Arabidopsis thaliana: one gene and its partner. The protein of the gene in region 2 interacts with the protein of the main gene of each other region in a pairwise test. Each region holds a gene or a part of one and is shown on either strand. Other genes may lie near its edges.

What was found. Proteins that work in one complex are often made in the same cells at the same time.
Region 1: the proteins of MYB12 (region 2) and AT5G66980 interact in binary tests that used the Arabidopsis thaliana proteins (3 or more experiments, as listed by UniProt).

Annotation. Positions count from the first base shown.
Region 1 is NC_003076.8:26,739,086-26,744,959, forward strand, and holds AT5G66980 (AP2/B3-like transcriptional factor family protein), read left to right. Parts: upstream 1-2,457; 5' UTR 2,458-2,477; coding exon 2,478-2,546; intron 2,547-2,634; coding exon 2,635-3,145; intron 3,146-3,225; coding exon 3,226-3,344; intron 3,345-3,435; coding exon 3,436-3,741; downstream 3,742-5,874. Other genes in the region: AT5G66960 (Prolyl oligopeptidase family protein), read right to left, coding at 44-408; AT5G66970 (P-loop containing nucleoside triphosphate hydrolases superfamily protein), read right to left, coding at 1,360-1,562, 1,641-1,740, 1,816-2,040; AT5G66985 (uncharacterized protein), read left to right, coding at 4,327-4,578; RKD3 (RWP-RK domain-containing protein), read right to left, coding at 5,172-5,363, 5,451-5,827.
Region 2 is NC_003071.7:19,473,277-19,480,875, forward strand, and holds MYB12 (myb domain protein 12), read left to right. Parts: upstream 1-3,049; 5' UTR 3,050-3,161; coding exon 3,162-3,294; intron 3,295-4,088; coding exon 4,089-4,218; intron 4,219-5,113; coding exon 5,114-5,966; 3' UTR 5,967-6,321; downstream 6,322-7,599. Other genes in the region: CAO (chloroplast signal recognition particle component (CAO)), read left to right, coding at 1-626. UniProt on the Arabidopsis thaliana protein: Flavonol-specific transcription activator involved in the regulation of several genes of flavonoid biosynthesis. Activates the expression of CHS, CHI, F3H and FLS1. Controls flavonol biosynthesis mainly in the root. Confers tolerance to UV-B.

The DNA.
Region 1 (5,874 bases), on a different chromosome or scaffold from region 2:
AACGATGCTAAACAAGAGAATCAGTATAATTCAATTGACCCACCAAGGTCCCCAACGAAGAGGAGGCGTGGAGAGCTCAAAGGACAAACGAGAAGCCATTTCAGACTGAAGCTTGGTCTGAATCCGATCAGTATCAGCCAAAACGGCTTCGGTATACTTCTCCTCTTGCTCCATATAGATATCCATATGCCTCATCGCCACTTTATCTTCCAGCTTAGACATCCAACTGTATGGATCCTCCCACGTCGCGTCGTGGAAGGTGAAACTCTGCGGCTTCTTCGGCGGTTTTGGTAATGCTGGTGGTGGTGGAGGAGGCGGTGGAGACTTCGGAGGCTTGTAACAGCGACATTGTTGTCGCCGGAAACGGCAATTATGACGGGAAAAGGTCCGAGAGAGATTGCTCAACATTGCCTCCGGTTGGTTATTTGGGGGTTTACAGGGTTTTTGCGTCTCAGGAAATTTTTGTCATTAAGCTTACAAAATCGGACCCTTCTGAATCAAAGAGAGGCTTTTGTCTTACACAAAAATTCAGATCATTCTGTATTATACAAAAAACAAAGAAAATTCAGATCATTTTATATAAATTTGGATACAAAAAAACTATTTAGATTTAGCATGAACATTGAAAAACATTCGACAGTACCAAAAACTAGACGTATAGTGCATGCAGTACTTGTCTTCCGATCATATCCATACAAGCCAAATTAACACATAGTTATACAAAATTATTTGTTTTAAACATAAGTATATGATATAAATACGTTGGAAGGCATATGAGGCATAATTTGTAACCTCAGACGTTGGAAAAGCGCAATCTGTACGGTATATGATAATCATTGCGAATCCTCTCCTTAAGCTCCATCTCCGTATCCCTCTTGACCTTCGTCTTGAACGCTTTCATCATTTGCACAACTTGTTTCACATCTACTTTTGATGCCTCAGCTATCTCCATCATCCGTTTTGATCAATAAACCATGCATAAACATGCCATAACTTATTATTACCTTCATCTGTCATGGACTCCATTATTGTCGTGTGCAGCCTAATCTTCTCGTCGTCTACCTTTGAAGAAGTACAAGGACCAAGGCGGGAAAGCAACTACAATGAATTTGGTAGAAAGTTACGATGTCTTGTATTCGCTATAGTAAGTAAACAAGAGTTTATTGAGAGATGATACTATACATGTTTCTCCAATCCTAATCGTCGCTTATAATAACGATACATTATTCTCAAAGTATATGCATATGGCTTATCCCATGGGTTTCCTGCACAAAAGGTGGACCAATCATGAGTGTCCATACTCATCAATAACGAGAAACCAAAGCAAACAAGGCTAAGACATGAAGGAATTTTGCTTACTCAAGAGACTCCTGACAAAAGCTTCAGCTTGAAATACTCAATATATATATACCTTGCGTAAACTGGAACCTCATCTTTGGCAGCCTTGTTGAGACGGACAAAAGCATCGAACTTGAAAGTATCAGCACACACTAAAGCTGGTCTGAATCCCTTCTTCCGGTGGTAACGAGCATACTTGGCACACGTTTTGGTCTTGTCAACACCTACACTCATATTTCATAAATACGTTTTCTCAAACATGTTTACTAAGAAAAACAAAAAACAGAGAATGACTAACCGACCTCGTAATCCGATGAACATGACTATGCTAGGTTCAAGCTTTCCCCGAATGAGTGCAGATTTTCCCGGATCTAGCTTACTAGAGAGCTCCTGTAACATCATCTGAAGCGGTGGTTCCGAGTTAGTTAAAATCAACTAAGGAGATTAGGGACATAATTACAAAGAAACAATCGTCACCATGTAGATTAGGGCACCCTTCTTCTTGGGCGCCTTAGGCAGATTGATAATTTCCAGACTTTTCGTCTCAATCTCATCCACGGCCAATCTAGGAATATCGGCGTCAAGCAAAGCGCATGTGATCTCGTTCAAGCAACTCTTCAGTTTCGTGCAGTCCATGTTGCTTGTTTTATTCATCTCTTCAAAAGACCGGCCTATCCGACCCCTCACTTCCTCCAACGCCATCCAGAAAATTAGAGATTCGGTCGCGATTTACAGGTTAGGGCTTTGGTTTTGCTCGGATACATAAATACGTCTTGCCGGGACTGCCCCAGGTTTGGCTGTTTAATAAGTTGTAAAAATCACAAGTTTTACAGTTTACACCCATAATAGTAATAATAACAATAAATTAGGGGAGCGAAAGCAAAATTCCTGAAATTTGTTTTTCCTTTCTGCCCAAACAAAAAAAAAAGGTTTTATTCCTTTATTTTTTCCAACCTTGTCAGACTTTAGAACATCACATAACAGACGACAAAAAAAAAAAAAAAAAAGAACATCACATAACAGCTGTTCCTCTCATCTCTCTTATAAGGTCCTCTGCTTCTGAGATCTTCGTTGCTTCTTTGCCTTCTGGTTTAGTTTAAAATCAATCACTACCAAAAGCCCTAATCACAGAAGAAATCATGGTTGATCTCAGTAAAGACTTACAATTTTTCAAGGTCTTTCTCCCTGAATTCGGTTCTCACGAACTGGTATACTTGTTTTATATCTCATCAGTTTATTCTTATAATATCAAAATATATTCCATGCGGAGATTAATTTACAAAAATAAATCTGCAGGTGATTCCTCCTGCATTCATCGATATGTTAGAGAAACCATTACCTAAAGAAGCGTTCTTAGTCGATGAGATTGGACGGTTATGGTGTGTAGAGACTAAAACAGAAGATACAGAAGAAAGATTCTGTGTTTTCTTCACAAAAGGTTGGCAAAGTTTCGCAAACGATCAATCTCTTGAATTTGGAGACTTCCTTGTCTTCAGCTACGACGGCGATTCCAGATTCTCCGTTACGATTTTCGCTAATGACGGATGTAAAAAAGATGTTGGTGTCGTCTCAACCACGGATAGATCTAGGGTTTCTCTTGATGAGGAAGAACCGGATGATATTTTTACTAAACCGGATCGTATGAGAGATTGTGATTGTGGCCAGAGCATTAACCGGAAACGGAAACGCGATTCGGTTAATGAAGACCCTCACGTACTGGTTGATGATAAACCGGAGTATGTTTCAACTTACAAAACCAAACCGGAGCATAGTGAAAAGACTCAGAGAACAGTTAACCGGGCTGGAGGTAATTATTAACATGTTTTTTTTTGGTTTAATTTACATTATTGCGTTTTTTAACTCTTTTTTTCATTCGGTGTTACCTAGATACTTGTGACATATCATGGTTTCCAGAGAAGAAACACAATGGATTTGAAGAATCGGTTTACAAACCCAAGCATCCGCATTTTGTTAGGAATATCACAAGAGGTTCACTTCAGAAATTGGTGAGCTTAAAGAACCTTTTTTTTTATATAAATCTGTATTAACTCATAATAATGGTTGTTTACATAATATCAATTTCTATGTGTTTGCTAGGAATTACCGTTAACTTTTCTGAGATCGAACGGGATTGAATTGGAGGAAGATATTGAGCTTTGTGATGAAAGTGGAAAGAAGTGGCCTTTGAAGATTCTGAATCACGACAGAGGATTCAAGTTCTCGCATGAATCATGGTTGTGTTTCTGTAAAAGCCATGAGATGATACTGACCAATAAGTGTCTATTTGAGTTTATTGTCCCAAGTAATGGGAGATGCAGTGAGATTCTAGTTCGTATTGTCAGTGGGAGATTGCCTACCACTATGACCAAAAATAATTACCAAGTTATTGATATGCAACCTTAAAATAAGTAAACAAATATATGTTATGTTTCGCTTCTATTGTGAATTTTGTATATATCATTTGACTATTCCGTTTCTACATTGTTTATGTGTCATACCGTTTAATTTATCAGAAAATTTAATTAGAGAATAGAAGTCAGTAGTTGTAATATTAAAAATCAACATGATGGATTGAAAAAAACAACAACAACATGATTATGTTAATTGTCGTTATGTCTCGTTACGCAAGCAATGACAAAGATAAAGCAGTCCATTAAAGGGATTAAGAATGCACTAATCGCATGAGAATTGCACGTAGGAGAGCACATAGTTTGTGTCCCTTTCTTATAAACTAATGAAATGCCAAATCAGCCACCAGTTTTCACAGAACCAACGGGACAAGAGCCCACGTAATATCTATTATTCTTCCCTTAAAAGATGTTTTTTTAATGTAACAAGTTGCAATTATATGAATGCGAAGTCTCACCAATCCATTAATATATATAAATACACACGAGTGTGTGTTGTTTACTACACAATTTCTTCTTCGTTCCATTAACAACAACAACAAAAAATCGGAAAGCTTTCTAATTTTCTTTCTCTACTACAATGGAATTTGCGACTTCGAAAGGAGAGGAGATTTTGAAAGATGAGCAAGTGTCCAAGCAGCTACACCTGATATCGTCTGAAACGCAAACGCAAACGCTGAACAAAAAAGCCGTTCTAAACCGCATCCGCAACCACAAATGTATTCACAAAATCAAGAGTCTTCTTCACACCACCGCGGCTAACAACGGAGCCACCGTCGACGCTGATTATTATCGGTGGATTGATAGCGGCGATGTCTTTTCTTGTCCGTGACAGAGATTTTGACACGTGTATGTCACGTGTGTTTGTGATTCTCTCTTTTCTCTAGTATTCAAGTTCAAGTTGTGCTATATGTAATCCTAGTGAGTAGTGATTGTAGTTTTCGATGTTCATGATGAATTGAATCATTGATGAGTTCACCGCAGATCTTTACTGGTTTCATTGTTGGGATGCGGTAATGGATAAATTGGGCCATGACTGATTATTGTTTTGATTGGGCTTTCTCAAATATTAATAAAAGCCCAACAAGTAGAATGGTTTTTAGCGCAATAATACATTGCAGCTAAATCGAATCAAATACAGTATACTGTATAACACTGCTTGGAGAGCGTAATCAATCAGCTTCAAAGTCCAAACCAAAACTAAAAAAGGATTCATTCAACAATAAAACCAACAAGGCAAAAAACAAAAACCAAAATAAAAACTGGAATGGATCCAAGTTTCATGAGAATTAGATCATTATCAAAAGAGACTAGCTAGTACAAGACGTAACTCCATCACTCTTATCTTCGTCTTACACGACTCATATAGTACCAACTTAATTAAGTCACAAAAGGTTAGATATCTCTAGAGACGAGCTCCTGATCTCATGAAGAAGATGAGAAGAGCCTTCTCCGTTTGTATTTAGCCTTGAAGCAAGCCTGTCTTAACCTCTTAGTCTTATCCCCAAATTCCAAATCGGGAACTTCCTCAATCATCTTCTTCTCCATCTCCAAAAGCTCCAAAGCGTTCCTCAGCTTACTCTTGGGCGTTCTCCCCTTCGTGTTCCCTAACAAGTCCTTTCAAAGAAGACCATCACATATATAAGTGTTGTAACCCCAAAATGTATAGGCAATTTGATTGTAAATGTCTGTTGACGAACGTACCTTGAGATTAGCAATTAGAGCGTTTAGGCTCGTGAGCTTACGGTGAGGCCAACGAGGAATACCTAACTCACGACATCTTTTCTTCAAGAGGGTTACACCAATGTTAAGCTCCTTGGCTGCTTTAGTTATCGGCATGTAGAAGTACTGCTTCATCATTTCCCTTGACATATTATTGATGACTCCATCTTCTCTATATCGCCTCTTCATAATTATCCTCTTCTGGCTTGTTTTCTCTTTCATTGTGTTAACATCTTCATGCAATATTTGCTCCATATTTGGATCTCCCATGGTATTAGTTCTTGAAATTTCATCAAGGTTTGGTTCGACCTGGTTATTGTAGTTACCATTATTCTCGTTCCACCATCCACTCGATATATCTGCTACATAATATAAGATTAGATTTACAATCCAAGCTTGCATATAT
Region 2 (7,599 bases):
TCGTGGCAGGTCTGGGGTCGGACAAGTGCGTAAGGCTTCTGGCGGAGGCTGGAGCCGATCTCGACCACCGAGACATGAGGGGAGGCTTGACGGCGCTGCACATGGCGGCTGGTTACGTGAGGCCGGAGGTGGTGGAGGCGCTGGTGGAGCTGGGAGCTGATATTGAAGTGGAAGACGAGAGAGGGTTAACGGCGTTGGAACTAGCGAGGGAGATTCTGAAGACGACGCCGAAGGGGAATCCGATGCAGTTCGGGAGGAGAATTGGGTTAGAGAAAGTGATCAATGTCCTGGAAGGACAAGTGTTCGAGTACGCCGAGGTGGATGAGATCGTAGAGAAACGAGGGAAAGGCAAAGACGTTGAATATCTGGTCAGATGGAAGGACGGTGGAGATTGCGAGTGGGTGAAAGGTGTACACGTGGCGGAAGATGTGGCTAAGGACTACGAGGATGGGCTGGAGTACGCTGTAGCGGAGAGTGTGATCGGGAAGAGGGTGGGAGACGATGGGAAGACCATCGAGTATCTTGTCAAATGGACTGATATGTCTGATGCCACTTGGGAGCCTCAGGACAATGTCGACTCTACTCTTGTTCTACTCTACCAACAACAACAACCAATGAATGAATGATTGATTTTGATGATTACATTCTTCTCAATTTGCTTCTTTCTCATATGTGTTGGTTCATCTGACCGGTTCGGTTGGTACGTACCGGTACATTTTCATTTTCTTTTAAGATGTGATCTTGATGGTTTTTGGCCTTTTGGGGACACTATTTGATTTTATATCCATGCTTTGAATTTTGCTTCCCTTTTTGGGGAGATTCATGATGCTGGCTGACTTGCTCTTTATCGTCCCAGGTTTAGAGAATACATCGTCTTAGGCTTTTCTTTATCTCAAAACCCATTTACATTTAATTGGGCCTATATATTTCATATAGGAAGAGAGTACATGTAAACCCAATACACAACTTTTATTTATGGGTCCGTTTCTTGTAACATTTGTTGGTGATAAAAACAACTTCTGAAGAGTGATAATGTACAACTGCACTTTGCGATTAAGGAAATTATAGAAAGATACAAAGTCTGAATAAATGACTAGAAAATATGAATAAGTAGTATCCATTCTTCTCTAATTCAACATCATTTTTTTTTTTTTTTTTTTTTGACGATATTCGATGCATTGTGTCTATATGAGAGAAATTTTGGTTTGTCAGTTAATGGCTAGACTTTTATTATTATGAGCATCTAGATTTTCAGTGCATGTGATGTTACGTTGATGATGGACATAAGGAGACAAAAAGGACGGAGTTGATTTAGTACACATTTTCGTTTCTTTGTGAATACAACGATCGCCTATTTTTCGTTTGTAATTTTCCTCTTAATTCGAGAGGGGCCTCTAGTCATGTGTGTTACTTCTAGTTATAGTGACATGAACGGATGAGAAAAGTTTCTTTTTGTAAACAACATGCGTACGTAAATCAACCAAATATATTTAGTATAACAACCAAATTACTGTTGGACAACCAACCAAACAACAATTATGTAGATTATAGATTAGAGAAAACAAGGAACTAGGTCGATTAACCGCGACCACATTAGCCAAGTCCTCCAGTCGATTAATATAAATTGATGCCAAATATATTAGTTTTCACTGGGTTTTATATTATACTATCAGACCACAGAAGACATCACGTCACAGTTAACAACACTACATATTTCAGATTTTGTATGAAACGTAACTAGGTTTATATATGAGACCTTTTAACCAATTAAATGATAGTGATATGGTTTGTAACATTGTATTGTATGTATTTTAGTTGATGTGTGTGGTTGGTAAGGTATAAATTAGCTAGTGTTACGAAAAATGACTTCTTGCTTTTTCTTTCAAATTGAACGACGCTCTATTTCACTTAAATAAAACCACATTTAGTTATTTCAATGACAACATACTAAGTTTTTTCTTACATAAATTAAAAAGTAATTTTGGTTTCAGTCCAAATTTTTCTAGTTATAGGAAAGAAAATGAAAGAGTTGCTTTCAAAATATTGAATCCATTGTATTTAATTTTGAATATTGAATAGTATGTACTAAAGTCTTTTCTTTAGTAGACCAATCTAAATACGAACGAAAGTACCAAAACCATACGAAACGGCAAATAATGACATGTGGGGAACACGTAGTTAGATGAGCAGTAAATGGGAAACATATTTTGATGGTTGTCCTCATATTTTCGTGTATCGAGTTAGATAAGGAAACCTGTGAAAATTTATTTCTCAAAAGATTCCGTAAGATTCCGTCGAATATAATTGATATTTCAGTATTTTGGACTGGCAGCGAATATGGCAGACTATACAGATTGATCGTCTTCCGGCGTTGTTATAGACATTAACAAACTTTAACTACTCGTTTGCTTAATTAGGACCATCTGATGACTTTATTCTAAGTTCAAATTTAGATGACCTCTCTTTCTTGAACATATACTTGTTACATACTTAATTCATTGTGTTATTGCAATAAGTGAATTGTGTGGTTATCACTAACACGCTGACGTAAATTTACACGTGTTTATATGAACGCACACGTGTTTTGTAGCTCGAGCAAAAGACCATCTGGTCAACGGACTAGGAGGATCCGGCGTAAATCCTTTATATAATTTTTATCAAAATTATAAGAAGAACAAAAAATGTGCGATTACTATCTGATCTACGTATTCACGTGACAAACAACAATTAATTTCAATAAAGATCTACTAACTTTAGAGAAAAAATCTTATGTGTTAATAAAAAAGTAACGTCAATGATCTCGGCACACACTAGAATTAGTGTCTAAGAGAACCACGACGAACCTGCACGGACCGACCACGAGTCTCTCGACGGTGAATAAGCCACGACTTCAGTCTCCTTCTAAACCAACGTGGCGCTTCTTACACCACACACGTGTCATCATCTCCTTCTCCCTCGAACCCGCAAGCTCTTTTAATCCCTTTCAATTAATTAATTAACTATATATCACCTGCCCCTATATATATCTAAATCAGTCACTTTTTGCTTCTGTTGTCTGTCACTCAGTAACTTCTCTTTCTCACTTACACACTCTCTCTCTCTCTCTCCATTGCCTTGACTTTTGTGGTCAGTGGAATAAACACATATAACCGCCGGAGAAAATGGGAAGAGCGCCATGTTGCGAGAAGGTCGGTATCAAGAGAGGGCGGTGGACGGCGGAGGAGGACCAGATTCTCTCCAACTACATTCAATCCAACGGTGAAGGTTCTTGGAGATCTCTCCCCAAAAATGCCGGTAATAACATTTACACTTTTATTAACAAGATCATGCAACACAAACTTAATTTAATCTATAACAATGTATATATGAGAGAATAAGACATAGAGAAATAATCGTGGTTCTTGTCGTAATCTTCATGAAACATGGATTCTTAGTCAGTTTTTTTTTTTTGCTTTTGATAAAAGAATTAAGGATTGTTAGTAAGTTTTTTAAAAAATAAATTAAATTTTTAGGAAGGTTAGAAGTTTAACTGCAACCCTAATCTTTGTTTCCAATTTATTTCAGTTTTTGGGTTTTTCTTTTTTCGTGCGAATCACAGTCACGGTGGGTTGTTTAATGTAGATATATGTAAAATGCTGCCAAGTGCATGCTTTAAGAGGGTAGGTTATGTTATAGACTTATAGTATATGGACAAATGTTTAAAAGGAAATACAAACAGAAGCGTATTTATGTATTTTTGTCCGTTGTATATCATTTCAAGAATCAGATCAAAACCATATGACTAGTTTTGATTTGATTTCTAACCTCGCTTTTAATAGAAGGTTACTTAATGTAGTAGTTGAGAATTTTTTGTAGTTGTGATATATATTATATGCATAAGATATATGAATAAATACAATGATCAAAAAGCTAAGAATCTCGTGAGCAGTCACACATCAGACCCTAGTTAAATTAATAAATACCTGAAAACTTTATCAAAATTTATCTAACAAAATCTGCATAAACATATATTTTGACGTATGAATCTGCATCTAAATATGAAGTGTATTATTATATTGTTAATTGTTTTTATTTGTTTTTTGGAAAAGGATTAAAAAGGTGTGGAAAGAGCTGTAGATTGAGATGGATAAACTATCTAAGATCAGACCTCAAGCGTGGAAACATAACTCCAGAAGAAGAAGAACTCGTTGTTAAATTGCATTCCACTTTGGGAAACAGGTACTCTATTATTTTACTTTATTTTCCAAACTCTATTTTATTTATTATGTTTTTCATTTTTTCCCATTTATATTCGTTCAATTTGTTTTTATGCACTGTATCGTATAATAATGATATCATGTCGACCAAGTAAGTGGAGATTCGGTATTATAAGACGGCTTAATTACGATTATTCTCTCTCTTAAATACTATAAACTTTAGCGAAGCACATTTTTATGGTTGGAAAATTTAATTTAAAGTCGAAATGGTAAAATAAAAATACTATTTTATCGTCGAATGAGAAATAGTTATTTCGTTGTGGGTCTTCCTCTTAACCATTGGGGTGTTAGACTTTTTCTCTTTTAGTTGAGACAAACTAAATTGTACCTCATTTTTTTTACACTTCGTATATTACATAAGCATTAATAGGAACACAGTTGATATAACACATGTGCATCTGTACAACAACACTTCAAACAAAATACAGTCACATATGTATTGCAAGTTTTCAACATGAAAAACTAGTAAACATGAGAAAAAAAAAGCGAGGATCTGTTTATTTAAAATTTTAATTATTATTACTCAACGTTAAACAAGTATATGTGATTCATAGTAGTGTCCGCTAAAATAAATCCAATATTGGAAATCGGACAAGGAACTCAACGAGAGTAGTACGAATTAGTCATCGTCACTCATTACTGACATTGCTCGAGCGATGTCATGATTAGGTCAGCAGTCATATCAACATGGCAAATCAAATTTAGAACACTATTCTATTGATTCTCATTGGGCCACGAGGTTCTCTTATTCCCCGGAAAGATATTTAATTTTATCAAGGTTGTTCCAAATTGTGAATAGAGGATTAATATAATGCAATGAACAGAGGATTAATTATTGATTAATGCAATGCATGTAGGTGGTCACTAATCGCGGGTCATCTACCAGGGAGAACAGACAACGAAATAAAAAATTATTGGAACTCTCATCTCAGCCGTAAACTCCACAACTTCATTAGGAAGCCATCCATCTCTCAAGACGTCTCCGCCGTAATCATGACGAACGCTTCTTCAGCGCCACCGCCGCCGCAGGCAAAACGCAGACTTGGGAGAACGAGTAGGTCCGCTATGAAACCAAAAATCCACAGAACAAAAACTCGTAAAACGAAGAAAACGTCTGCACCACCGGAGCCTAACGCCGATGTAGCTGGGGCTGATAAAGAAGCATTAATGGTGGAGTCAAGTGGAGCCGAGGCTGAGCTAGGACGACCATGTGACTACTATGGAGATGATTGTAACAAAAATCTCATGAGCATTAATGGCGATAATGGAGTTTTAACGTTTGATGATGATATCATCGATCTTTTGTTGGACGAGTCAGATCCTGGCCACTTGTACACAAACACAACGTGCGGTGGTGATGGGGAGTTGCATAACATAAGAGACTCTGAAGGAGCCAGAGGGTTCTCGGATACTTGGAACCAAGGGAATCTCGACTGTCTTCTTCAGTCTTGTCCATCGGTGGAGTCGTTTCTCAACTACGACCACCAAGTTAACGATGCGTCGACGGATGAGTTTATCGATTGGGATTGTGTTTGGCAAGAAGGTAGTGATAATAATCTTTGGCATGAGAAAGAGAATCCCGACTCAATGGTCTCGTGGCTTTTAGACGGTGATGATGAGGCCACGATCGGGAATAGTAATTGTGAGAACTTTGGAGAACCGTTAGATCATGACGACGAAAGCGCTTTGGTCGCTTGGCTTCTGTCATGATGATATTGATTGATCCGTTATGTAATCTTTTTTGTGCATTCACAGTTTGAATCTATTCCACGTCGTATCATATCATAAAGTTTAGGATCTAAATATTAGTCCATTAGTTAAAATTATCTAATGCAATAAAACCCATGGGATGTTTGGATTGTACGTAAGGTTAAAATATTGCAGTCTTTGCTTTAGTGGAAGAATTAAACTAATATGATGTTTTTCTTTGTAACGTATTTACTATTTTCATGTAATTTAATAAAGAGGGTACGAAATGTAGGTGTACATTTGTTTGGGCTGTATATATTTCTATTGACATTAAATACGCCAAATTAGAAAAGAAAATCTTTAGTTGGAAGCATCTATTATATGTACCTCTTTCGGAATGTAAAATCACGTTTAATATTTCTGAACTGGTAATCAATCTCATCTCCTAAAATTTAATACATATCATCATTGTCAAACAATCGGAGTAGCGACGAGAACTATCATTGTTTTTCTCTTGTGATATTGCCGGCCAAATATTATTACCTCAATCATTTTGAAGCGAGTAAACATAGTTTTTTTCCCCCTTTTTTTTGTTCTTGTACACCAACAGAAAGCTGCATCACATCTGCGAATCATCACGTGCCATTCAAGTGATTACTGGAACGTGACATGAACGAATCTTCACATTGAGTGTTCCAACTCTCCTTTGTACGAAACTCCAAACAAGTAGATATATATTCAATTATTATGGATGTTGGAACAATCAAATTAACTCTTGTCCTTCTTATCGTAGAGACATGAAATTAACCCAATTCTGTAAATGAGTAGTAAGTAATCTATATATATATAGTTGACAACAGATAACACTATAATATATGCGTCCTTATAATGTTAATGTAATTATCATGGTTTGAGTTAACGTATAGAAGCATTGAAACTTAGTTGCAGACCGAAAATGATATACGATCTTAAGAGTTAAGAATCTTGAACTCGGCAAATTTTATGAAAAAAAAACAATTTCAACCATTTCTAACTAGTGATTAGATGACCAATAGCAAGCATGCACCAACGACTTCATTTTTATAAACATCATAGGGACCTAGACATATGCATTTTGTGGGCAACGGCCTACGCATTAAATTTGTGTTTCGAAGATTAAATTTATGAACAGAAGGCAACTTGCAAATTTGCTATGTACAAAAAACACAAAGGAAAAGTTTGTAAATAGAGACAATAAGGGAGAAATAAAAAGATCGCTTTCTCATAAGTCCGACTTGGTTCCACGGTATCTAGAATGCCCACGTGATGTCATGTACTTTTCCTTCTTCTCTATTCTAATATGTTGTTTAACAAAAAGAAAATTGATTGATAAAAAAAATTGAAAAATTTCATAGTGATATCTAAAGTTTAAACAAATTATCTCTAAGAAAATTGTTAGTATGCCTTGGAATATAATTTCTCAACACACAAACTGAAGAAATTGCTTTTAAAACTGAAATTTATATGGTAATGGCATACTAATAAACAGCTAAACTTTTGTAGTTTTATGTGTGTGTATTAAGAGATTTTTCAAAGTGAATGCACCTTAAGGTCATGTTTTGTGAGGTTTGATGTTGGAGAGAGTCTTTGATCCGCTGAAGAATTGGCCAGGTAT